Linked DNA regions of Arabidopsis thaliana. The protein of the gene in region 1 interacts with the protein of each later gene in a pairwise test. Each region holds a gene or a part of one and is shown in the gene's direction. Other genes may lie near its edges.

Evidence for each region. Proteins that work in one complex are often made in the same cells at the same time.
Region 2: the proteins of AT2G37000 (region 1) and TCP24 interact in a two-hybrid assay, tested with the Arabidopsis thaliana proteins (one large-scale study listed by BioGRID).

The regions. Positions count from the first base shown.
Region 1 is NC_003071.7:15,538,476-15,542,419, forward strand, and holds AT2G37000 (TCP family transcription factor), read left to right. Parts: upstream 1-1,770; 5' UTR 1,771-1,914; coding exon 1,915-2,481; 3' UTR 2,482-2,773; downstream 2,774-3,944. Other genes in the region: SIGF (RNApolymerase sigma-subunit F), read right to left, coding at 1-213, 294-549, 644-829, 922-1,019, 1,126-1,280, 1,454-1,541; NAP12 (non-intrinsic ABC protein 12), read left to right, coding at 3,245-3,474, 3,554-3,630, 3,708-3,944.
Region 2 is NC_003070.9:10,626,133-10,632,727, reverse strand, and holds TCP24 (TEOSINTE BRANCHED 1, cycloidea, and PCF family 24), read left to right. Parts: upstream 1-2,097; 5' UTR 2,098-2,156; intron 2,157-2,161; exon of another isoform or gene 2,162-2,347; 5' UTR 2,348-2,518; intron 2,519-2,917; 5' UTR 2,918-2,999; coding exon 3,000-3,974; 3' UTR 3,975-4,013; intron 4,014-5,296; 3' UTR 5,297-5,543; downstream 5,544-6,595. Other genes in the region: AT1G30200 (F-box family protein), read right to left, coding at 6,442-6,595. UniProt on the Arabidopsis thaliana protein: Plays a pivotal role in the control of morphogenesis of shoot organs by negatively regulating the expression of boundary-specific genes such as CUC genes, probably through the induction of miRNA (e.g. miR164).

The DNA.
Region 1 (3,944 bases):
GTTGAGTCCACGATTCTGATATTGTTTAGCTATATGGACTACCAGACGTAGGTTTGCTGTAATCAACTTTTCCCGGCTGCTTCTCCCACGGTGGATATCAGATTTTAAGACAGGGGAACTTATCCCCATAGCTTCAGCCCACTCGCCTATTGTTGGTTCGCAGCCGTTTTGAGATTCAAGTTTAGTCTTTACCTTCTCCAACTTTAATAAATGCTGATAGATCAAAGATTATGGAAGTTAGCACCAGGGACAAGAAGGAAGTCCAAGGACACATGAATAAGGAAAGCATGAACCTGTATATGTGATATCAGCTCAGCTTCTTCTTTAGCAGTCAGAAGTTGTTTTGTCTCAGGTCCCCACAAGAAGAGCTGAAGCGCATCATCATTATCAGCCCCTTGTTTATACTTTTTCTTCGCACTAGTTTTCTGAGGAACATAACCCTCATCGTCCACATCGTTTGATTTTGGAGCCCGTCTGTTCTTTGCTCGTCTCTCTAGCTGCCGCTTCGATCTTACTATGTTTCCCTTTTCCGGTAAGGACATAGAAGAGCTAAAACCAAACATCCAGAAATACAAATCTTTTCACATTACAGCCCACAAGTAGCAGATTGATAAGATACACAAACAAGGTTAAAAAAAGCAACCTAGTGGAGAGAGAATCCTTGATGTTGTCAGATGGATTTGCTTCAGTGTCATCAACTAACAATGCAGCTTGTTTTGAAGCTGATAAAGCCTTCTGAGCTAGTGCAACCACATCACAAAGCTCTGCATCAGCTAAAGGAGACACAACTGCCGGCAATTTCGTTTCAGATGTTAAAGGAGATATTAATCTGCAAACAAAAGAAAGGCTACATCATTCAGAAAACTCAAAAGGTTGTATGAAAACTGAAACTGGTGGGTTTAAGAGAGGAAGAGACATTACAAATTCCATAAACCAGTAGAGTGAAGAAGTTGCTGTTCAAATTTCTCATCTTCTCGAGATGAAACCAATTCATCAAACTGCCTCCTCTCCAGAGTCAACTAAAAATGCAAGGAACCCAATCGCATTAAACAAGAGGACTAGAAAGTTGACAACTTTATGATTGATTCAATCTCTTAGGACAATATTGCTGCTAATAAAACACACCTGGGATGTTCTATCGTCTCTTAACGCATGTGACAGAGGCCTAGACTCTTCCCGTGGCTCCTGTGAGAGAACCGACGCAGGAAAATGTCGAGATAGAGAATTGAGATGACGTGAGTTAACAACAGGAGTTGTTGTTTGATCATGAAGCATCACTACTACAGAAATACCAACAAACGAACAAAAACAAATCAGAAAATGCTAACACAAACTCGTATACATACACTAATTTCAAATTGAAATCCATGAACTTCAAATTCCAGTAACTAACAGAGACAAATCCAGCAAAGACACAATATTTCTATATGAAGAGTAGCTGAATAAGAAGTACCAGAGGAAGGAGAAGAGTAGCTGCTCTTGAGATGAGTCTTTGTCTGAAACGAAGGAGATGAAGAAACCAAGTTCCTCGTAGCTTCCATTTCACAGAATCACCAAAGAATAAAAGACTCTGTTTTTGCTTCCACGAATGGCTAAGGAAGAAGAAGAATAAGAACATGAGGCTACTCTACAGAGCCATGACGAACAGATAAGGCGACACACACACTCCCAATTTTTTTTTTGTAAAAATTAAAACTTGTTTGTTGCCATGGAAGTCAGATTTTGTTCTCTCTCCCTTTTTTTTTTTCCTACAGAGTGGATCATGTTGGGCCTTATATTGGGCTTAAAAGCCCAAATTATCCAAAAGTTAATTCGAATCATCTTCTTCTCCCTCCTTTAGTAACCCTAAGATTCTCTCTGTGAATCCTTGTTCATCGTCACTGAAATTAGTTTACAAAATCGACGAATTCGGAGATGATTTTTCAGAATGTGTGCAGAAATGAGTCCAACTTCAACGCTATAGCTTCCGAATCGCGTTCCCAAACGCAGTTCGGTGTTTCGAAATCCTCCTCGAGCGGCGGCGGATGTATCTCCGCCAGGACTAAAGACCGTCACACGAAGGTTAACGGACGAAGCCGTCGAGTTACGATGCCGGCTCTCGCCGCCGCTAGGATTTTCCAGTTAACGCGTGAGCTCGGTCACAAAACTGAAGGAGAAACCATCGAATGGCTTCTTAGTCAAGCTGAACCGTCGATTATTGCCGCCACTGGCTACGGGACTAAGCTCATTTCGAATTGGGTTGATGTTGCGGCGGACGATTCCTCGTCGTCGTCGTCGATGACGTCGCCGCAAACGCAAACGCAAACGCCACAATCGCCGAGTTGTAGGTTGGATCTTTGTCAGCCAATCGGAATTCAGTATCCGGTGAATGGTTACAGTCATATGCCGTTCACAGCGATGCTTTTAGAGCCGATGACCACGACGGCGGAATCTGAGGTTGAGATCGCGGAGGAGGAGGAACGTAGACGCCGTCACCATTAGTAAAATTAGGCTTTTGATTTAGAGTGTTAAAATTAGGATTTTAAAAGTTTAGGAGGTAACAGATAAGGATAATTTAGTCAAATCATGTTGTTTAGTTTGGTAATGTTATTTTGCCACTAAACAACTAATAATATTGTTTGATAATCTTATTATTTGGTTTTGGAAACAAATTGATTAAAAAATAATGCCATATGTTTATAATGTTTATATTGTTTTTCTCACTATTGATTTGTGATTTTTTAGTAATGCTTGAAATCATTAAGCAACACTATTTAAATAAACAAAAATTTCTCATGAAATCCAAAGAATCATCATTTGTCATGCTCCTCCAATATAGTTATTTCTATTTTTGGAAATAAGTTATAATTAAGAAACCAATCATTTTTCTCACCCATTTTTTTTTTCATTTGCTAGAAATCTGGACCTCCTTCCATGATGACCCTTCTCAACTCTCTTCTTTCACGCAAGTCTCTCATTTTTCAACTTTCCAACTTTTGATCTCAACGTCAACATTTCAAGATTTTCTAAAAGAGAACAAAAAAAATCTACAACAAGCTCGTTAGCTTTCTTTTAATCCTTCATCTCCATTTTTCAAGAATATACTCATTGGTTTTCTCAAGACATGATAGAAAAACACAAGACATCTCTACGGATATTTCTATTGGTAGCTTCCAATGTATCTATTCTATTGTTAGGTCAGAGGGTTCAGATATTTCGATTCGGAAGGTTCTGATTTTAAGGCAAGACTTTTGATATAAGAACAATGAGAGTTAGGGTTGATGTTTGTTGGACACAACACATCTTCTTGTTCTTTGTTTTTGGCTTGAGTTTTATGTCATTTGCACTATCTCTGGATGGAGATGATTACAGCAAAACAGGGAACCCAAAAGCTCTTGTTTCGGTTACAAACCTTATCTATACTCGACTTCAGAATCTAAAGACTGTTTTAAAGGCTGACGTTGATCGAGATTTAGGTTATTGCATCAAGAATTTGTAAGTCTTTTCAAAATCAGCTAATGTAGTCCCATGTTTGAATTTTACATTTTTCTCATATCGTTTGTTGATAATTCAGGAAGGGCGATTGGAATGAAGCATTTAATTTTGATAAAAATCTGGACTTCTTAAGCAATTGTGTCAAGAAAAATGATGGTAAACAACATAAAAAGGGTTATGTTTTTATATTCAAATACTTGAACATTGAGATTTAATGGTCTTGTGATATGCAGGTGACCTCACACTTAGACTATGTTCAGCTGCGGAGATAAAGTTCTACTTTAGTAGTTTTGTTAGAAGAGATGAAGCAACAACGGTTCATGTAAAGCCTAACATCAACTGCAATTTAGCTAAATGGGTTTCCGGATGTGAGCCTGGATGGAGTTGCAATGCAGATGATGAAAAAAGATTTGATCTCAACAATGGAAAAATTCTTCCATCTAGAACTCGTAAATGTCAACCTTGTTGTG
Region 2 (6,595 bases), on another chromosome or scaffold:
AAAAACACTTTTATAAGAAACACATAATCTGGTCTAATTATTGTCAATGGTTAAGGACCCTTCGTTTCGTAGTACTTGACTCTTTAGCTGTTGAGCATGAAACTGACAAGTACAAGTGTAAGTGCATATAACAAGTATTGTTCTTGAAAACTTGAGTGATTCCAATTGGTTTTTTTCCTATTTTTGCATTAGAAATTATCTAATAATAAAACCATATAAAATACCATTTGTGTTATATTCTTAGTTCGGAAACACAAAGCAATTATGTTTAATATATTATACATTCGAACCACATAAGAGAATTAGAGATACATTGGACACTGGAGTAAAATATATATTTTTGGCAAAATAAAAGTGAAAAATTCGATGTGAACCAAAATATTCTGAATGTGCATCAATAAATGCCTTTGGACAGTGACACGTGCGTCGCAGTCTCGAGCCAGTCTCGAGCCCGACGTTAAAAACCAATTCTTCATGGAAGCACACAAATATTTATTTACACAATTCTGAAATATTACTTAAAGACATGTGATGTGATACAGTATAATATATGAACGCAACATATCCCTAAAAATGGAATGTATTTGGTTAGCCCAAAGTGGGTTTGTATCGACATATCGTGTGAGATGAGTTAAACTTTTTTGATATACTATAACATGAGTCGGAGAAAAAAAAGTACGTAAGATGATTCATATTTTGGAATAATATATGGGTTGAAACATTATGTGATGACTGACGTACGAGTGACGACATACTAGTATGCTATTTGCAAATATTTGCTTTATTTTCACTCACTGCATCTGGATGGAACTCAATTTACAAAACCCATGTAAATTTGTATATAATTTTCTTTGACATGTACTATTTTAATATTTTTGTTACTATTTTTATCTTTCTACAACTAATACATAACATTAGATCTATAAATTTGTTAAACTTTGCTTTATACAGTATACAAAAACGAATTTTGACATTGTTTCCCTATCAAGAAAATAGTCTTAATTAGAAAGTCGTTATTGGTCGGAAGTGTAAAGAAGTTCCCAAGTTGACAATAATTTGCTTACTGAGCTACCGAGGTTAGGGATAATCGTCCAGGTCTTATTGTGAAACATTATTTAGTTTTCAAAAATTATTTAATAATTACTCTTACTAGAATCATGTTCTTACTTTACATACCAAGTATTGATAGTTCACTTAGTTTCAAAGATTTCCTTGGAAGGAAGGTTGAGTATTTTTCCCCAAATTTGAGTCTTTACGTGGAAGAAATTAAATTGTTTAGGCTTTGAAAATACAATCAAAAAGTGGTTCTAAAGCTCAAAGCTTGTTTGTTACAAAAGAAAAAATTAATATTCTTAATTACTTTACTTTTATTTGAGAGTCATATGTTTGGCCTATCTTACATTAAATCCAAATAGGTCATTACCCATGATGGCAACATGTTTTAATTCATGATGTTTCTTTTTTCCTATTTCGGTTAAGTTTTGTACTAAAACCTCAACCATATCTAAGCAAACAAAAATATCATGGTTGGCGTAGGCCGAGTAAAAGCGTGCATCTTTTGCCACGGTTAACTCATAGTGTACTGACTAAATCGGACTCCCGCATATGCCCAACAAAGAAGTTATACAATTTGTGTCATGACCAATATTCATTGTATGATTAAGGTTACTGAATTTGGCCAAGAACCCCATATATTTTATCGCATGCAAGAAGTGAAGCTTCTGCCTTTGAAGCCCATGTGTCCACTTTGTCACCTCGAGAGTGTCTTTTCTTCACCATAGCATGAAACATTATGTAAGTTAGATGTTTCTTGAAAATGTAAATTAAAACAATATAGGCTATATTTGCATCAAGGATGTATGCTTATTCCTAGTTATATTGTCTTATCAGATGTAGTGTCATGAACCTTATTTATATGATTAAAACATACATTATACTTCAGTATAATTCGATTAATAGAGGGCAAATTGATCGAAAAAGAAAATAAAAGGGCAAATATTGATATTCTAATAGTTTAGTGGCAGAATTGAAAAAGGAGAAAGAAAGAAGGGTAAAAGAGAGAGAAAAGAACAGAACAAGGAAAGTACAAAATAGTCCAAACAGTGCACTTGTCTTCCCTTGTCCGAAGGCAACTGTTTGATATTTTTCTCTAACAGGTAATAAAACTCATATCTCTAGCCTCTCTCCCCATTTCCCATTTTCTGCTAATTTTCTTTCACTTTCTCGGCTGATTTTCCTGGGAAAATACTCTTTATCTAAACGTCCTAAAACACTACTCAAAAACGAATGTTTTTTTTATGTTATAACTTATATTTGTGTGACTATTTTGATATAACTATTATTGCAGATCTGTGGATCTTAACACTTCTCTAATGCTTATAATGACGAGATCTAAGCATGAGAAGGAAGAGATAAGAAGCTCATGACAAGAATCTGAAGAAAATTAAATTTGTTTTTCACTTATCGCCGCCATTGTTGTTCTACACTGAGCTTAGACAGTTGACACCTGTAATCCAAAGTGAGTTTTCTCTTAGCTTGTTGGTGATTTTTGAGGCAAACCCTTTATTTATATTTTAAAATCTCTGCTTTATTTAATGTATCAAGATTCTTATTTTGCAAACTGCCATGTAATTTAGGGCAAAGCTTCTAGCAAGAACAAAATCATTAGTCTTGTTCATCTTCTTCACTTAAAAATCTCTCCTTTAATTTCTGGGTATTTATTATTTTCACCAAAGCTCATAATCTTTAATAAATTCCTATAGGTTTCATAGGTTTTATATAATTAATTTAGGGTTTCTGAAAAAGGCTCTTAAGCTATAGGTCTATGAACATGAATAGATTTGGCAGATCTACAAATTTTTATTATTTTTAGCCTTTGAGCAGTGACTTTAATTTCTTCTTACTTTAATTTTTGCAGATTCAAAAGTTTATCACTGCAACATACTCAGGCTTTTTACTTAATTATCATAGCTCTGATAAAGTATGAGAGTAGCGTTACAATGGAGGTTGACGAAGACATTGAGTTACAAAAACATCAAGAACAACAAAGCAGAAAGCTACAAAGATTCTCAGAGGACAACACTGGACTAATGAGGAATTGGAACAATCCATCGTCTCGTATCATTAGGGTTTCACGAGCTTCTGGTGGCAAAGATAGACATAGCAAAGTGTTAACATCAAAAGGTTTAAGAGATCGAAGAATACGTCTCTCAGTTGCTACAGCAATCCAGTTCTATGATCTTCAAGATCGTCTTGGATTTGATCAGCCAAGTAAAGCTGTTGAATGGTTAATCAATGCAGCTTCTGATTCAATCACTGATCTTCCTTTGCTTAACACAAATTTTGATCATCTTGATCAGAATCAGAATCAGACCAAATCTGCTTGTAGTAGTGGAACATCTGAGAGTTCGCTGTTGTCGTTATCAAGAACAGAGATTCGTGGGAAAGCAAGAGAGAGAGCTAGAGAAAGAACAGCTAAAGACAGAGATAAAGATTTGCAGAATGCTCATAGCTCATTCACTCAGCTTCTCACTGGTGGTTTTGACCAACAACCGAGTAACCGGAATTGGACCGGTGGTTCTGATTGCTTTAACCCGGTTCAGCTGCAAATACCAAACTCTTCCTCTCAAGAGCCAATGAATCACCCATTCTCCTTTGTACCTGATTACAACTTTGGAATCTCTTCTTCTTCTTCTGCCATTAATGGTGGTTACAGTAGTAGGGGGACCCTTCAGTCCAATTCACAATCTCTCTTTCTGAATAACAACAACAACATTACTCAAAGGTCATCGATTTCTTCGTCTTCTTCTTCCTCTTCTCCAATGGATAGTCAAAGCATTTCCTTTTTCATGGCTACACCTCCACCTCTTGACCACCATAACCACCAGCTTCCGGAGACTTTTGATGGTCGGCTATATCTTTATTACGGCGAAGGAAACCGGAGCTCTGATGACAAGGCAAAGGAAAGGAGATAGTAAAAACAAAATGCTTCCTTTCATCTCTCGCCAATCTTGGTTAGTCTTTTTCTATCTTTTTAGTATCTCAATTCTTCAGTTTTTAGAAAAATGGTTTATGGATTAGTTAAATGTAGTGATAGTACCATGTTGTTTGATTTGTTATAAATTTTGGTTTCTTGATTTCACAAAAGAAAGATGGTTTATTGGGGCGTGGCAGTGAGTCATATTTTGTTGGTTTCATAATTTCATTACATTTTTGTGTGTCTCGAAGTAATAATGACTTTAGGATTATATAATCAATGACATGTGGATGAATTTGAAAAGAGGGCTTCATCGTCTGTTTTTGTCTCCTCATGTGTTCTATGTTGGGTTTCCTTCTTCCTCAGCATCACCTTGTTCCAATTTGTGATCATTTACTTATTTTCTCTAAGGGTAGGTCATTTCATTAAATTTGTGTCCCATTTTGATGTATTTATTCATTCACATGATACAGTAATTCACCTAAACCTTTTGACTCCATTGAATTAGTTATATATATATATTAGTATTGCAAGTTCTTGGTTTAGGAAATCTTTATAGCAATTTATTTTAATATGGAAAATGTAATGAGGTGATGAACTGTTTTGGATAAGAAAGAAGTTAGTTAATATTTAATAATTGGCATCAAAGAATCAACATTTGACAAAAGACTTTGCTATGAAGAAAGTTTTGTCCTTAATAGATAAATATTTTATTTAAGAGAAAAAGATGGGAAGTTGAGTGTTTTTTGCCTGGCAAAATTGTTTTAAAACATTGTCCTCCTGAAGTGGCACCACATGCTATGTGTCGGACTCTAATTATCCCATCTCTTCATTGTTGTCATGAGCTCTTTCCCTTTAATTCGGAGCACTCACATTTTTAGATCTCTTTCACATCACATTTTGAGTGATTCATATGTTTTCTTTTACCTGAAATCTGAATTGATGTTGTTTTGATACATAAACTAAGTGGAGCTTGGTTGATTGATTCATTTCTTAAATTTCTTACTTTTTGGTTTGATACTATGGGCACTAAACTACAGGAACTTCTTTAATAACAATAATATAGACTTTGGTATCAACATAGCACTGATTTGTAAAGGTTGGATTTGTTTCTAGTAATGAGGAATTGTAAGGCTAAATGAGTTTTTATAGTTCATAATGTATTATTGTGTGAAGGAAGATGATTAAACTCCAGTGGTTGTTATACATTACTTCCACACTTCGATTTCTTGATAATGGGTTTGAACAACTTGGTCGTGGCTCATACTTTCATCAAGATATATGGTTGATATATGAAAATGTTTCTTGGAATATATGCAGGAGTGGAAGTGTAATTTGTGGGAAGACGATGTTTGTGCAGCCCTGAGCATGTATATGAATCCTCCATTGCAATCATAAGCCAGGTTGATTGTATGTTCAGACCGCGAGGAATTGTTTTTGTTTGATGAGAAACATGTGTTATGTAATGAATCATATATATGTCTCTATATGTGTTCATGTTCATTGTCATAAACTTTGTCCGAAACTCGGACCAATGTTTTCAGGTCATCCTCATTCTGTTGGCTGCATGTTATGTAGCATTTTTAAGCTTCTATGTTACAATTGGGGCAGTATGAGTAATACAAGAGCATATATCAAATTAGAGAGGGGATAAAAAGGAAGATCAATGTCTAAAGTAGTTAGCTTCAAGAACAGAGTATCCAAGTATCAAGAACAGAACATCAAAGTGTCGAAATAAAGCTTATACATATTATTACAGACTCTTTTGTAACATAATCCCTTACGTGTTACGACGATTCACATCCTTCATATGTGCCTCTTTTTAACACAGATCACACACATGTTCTTCCTCACTCGCAGACTTCTTTTACAAGAGTGTATGTACAATGGCGTTCTTCTTCGGTTTCAGAGAACCTCCCTTCGGCATCCTCCATGCCTGCAGATTCATTCGACGCAGGCCTCATGACTGGCGAAGCAGTATGTCTCAAAAAAAGTCGAGAGATTTGCGGTTTTTGGCTTCAGGACATTTGTGAACTCTCTGTTCTCTTTCCTTCATTCTCCAACATATGTGGATTTGTTTGCTCCCACCATCTGCAAAATGTCTATGATTAACACTGTCAACACCTTCCCCATAATCTAAACCAGATATAAGACTCTAATATGTACGAAAAGCAACTCAAATTTTATTCATTTTGGTCACAAATCAACCGCATCAGTGATACATGATCTCAGCTCAAAAACATCATCACCCAAGCTAATACAATTCGAAGAACATGAGGACAGACAAGGCAAACACACTATACTATGACTCCTCAAACTGGTTCTTGCATCATAAATGATAATCAAATTTTCAGATCATTGCTAATGCCACAAAGGGAAGCTAATTCAAACATCCAAACAGAGCAGTATACAAAACCATAGAATGACACAATGTACTATTACCTGAAACCGGTCATAATGCGAAATCAGAACGAGTTCATCTCCAAACAATAAGTCCTCCTCTTGATCAACATCTTCGCCACAGTCCCAAACGGTTCCTCAAAAGCATCAGACAACCAAGAAGCATCACAAACTTCCTTCTTAGACTCACTCGGCCTAATAGCCACCAATGTCGCACCT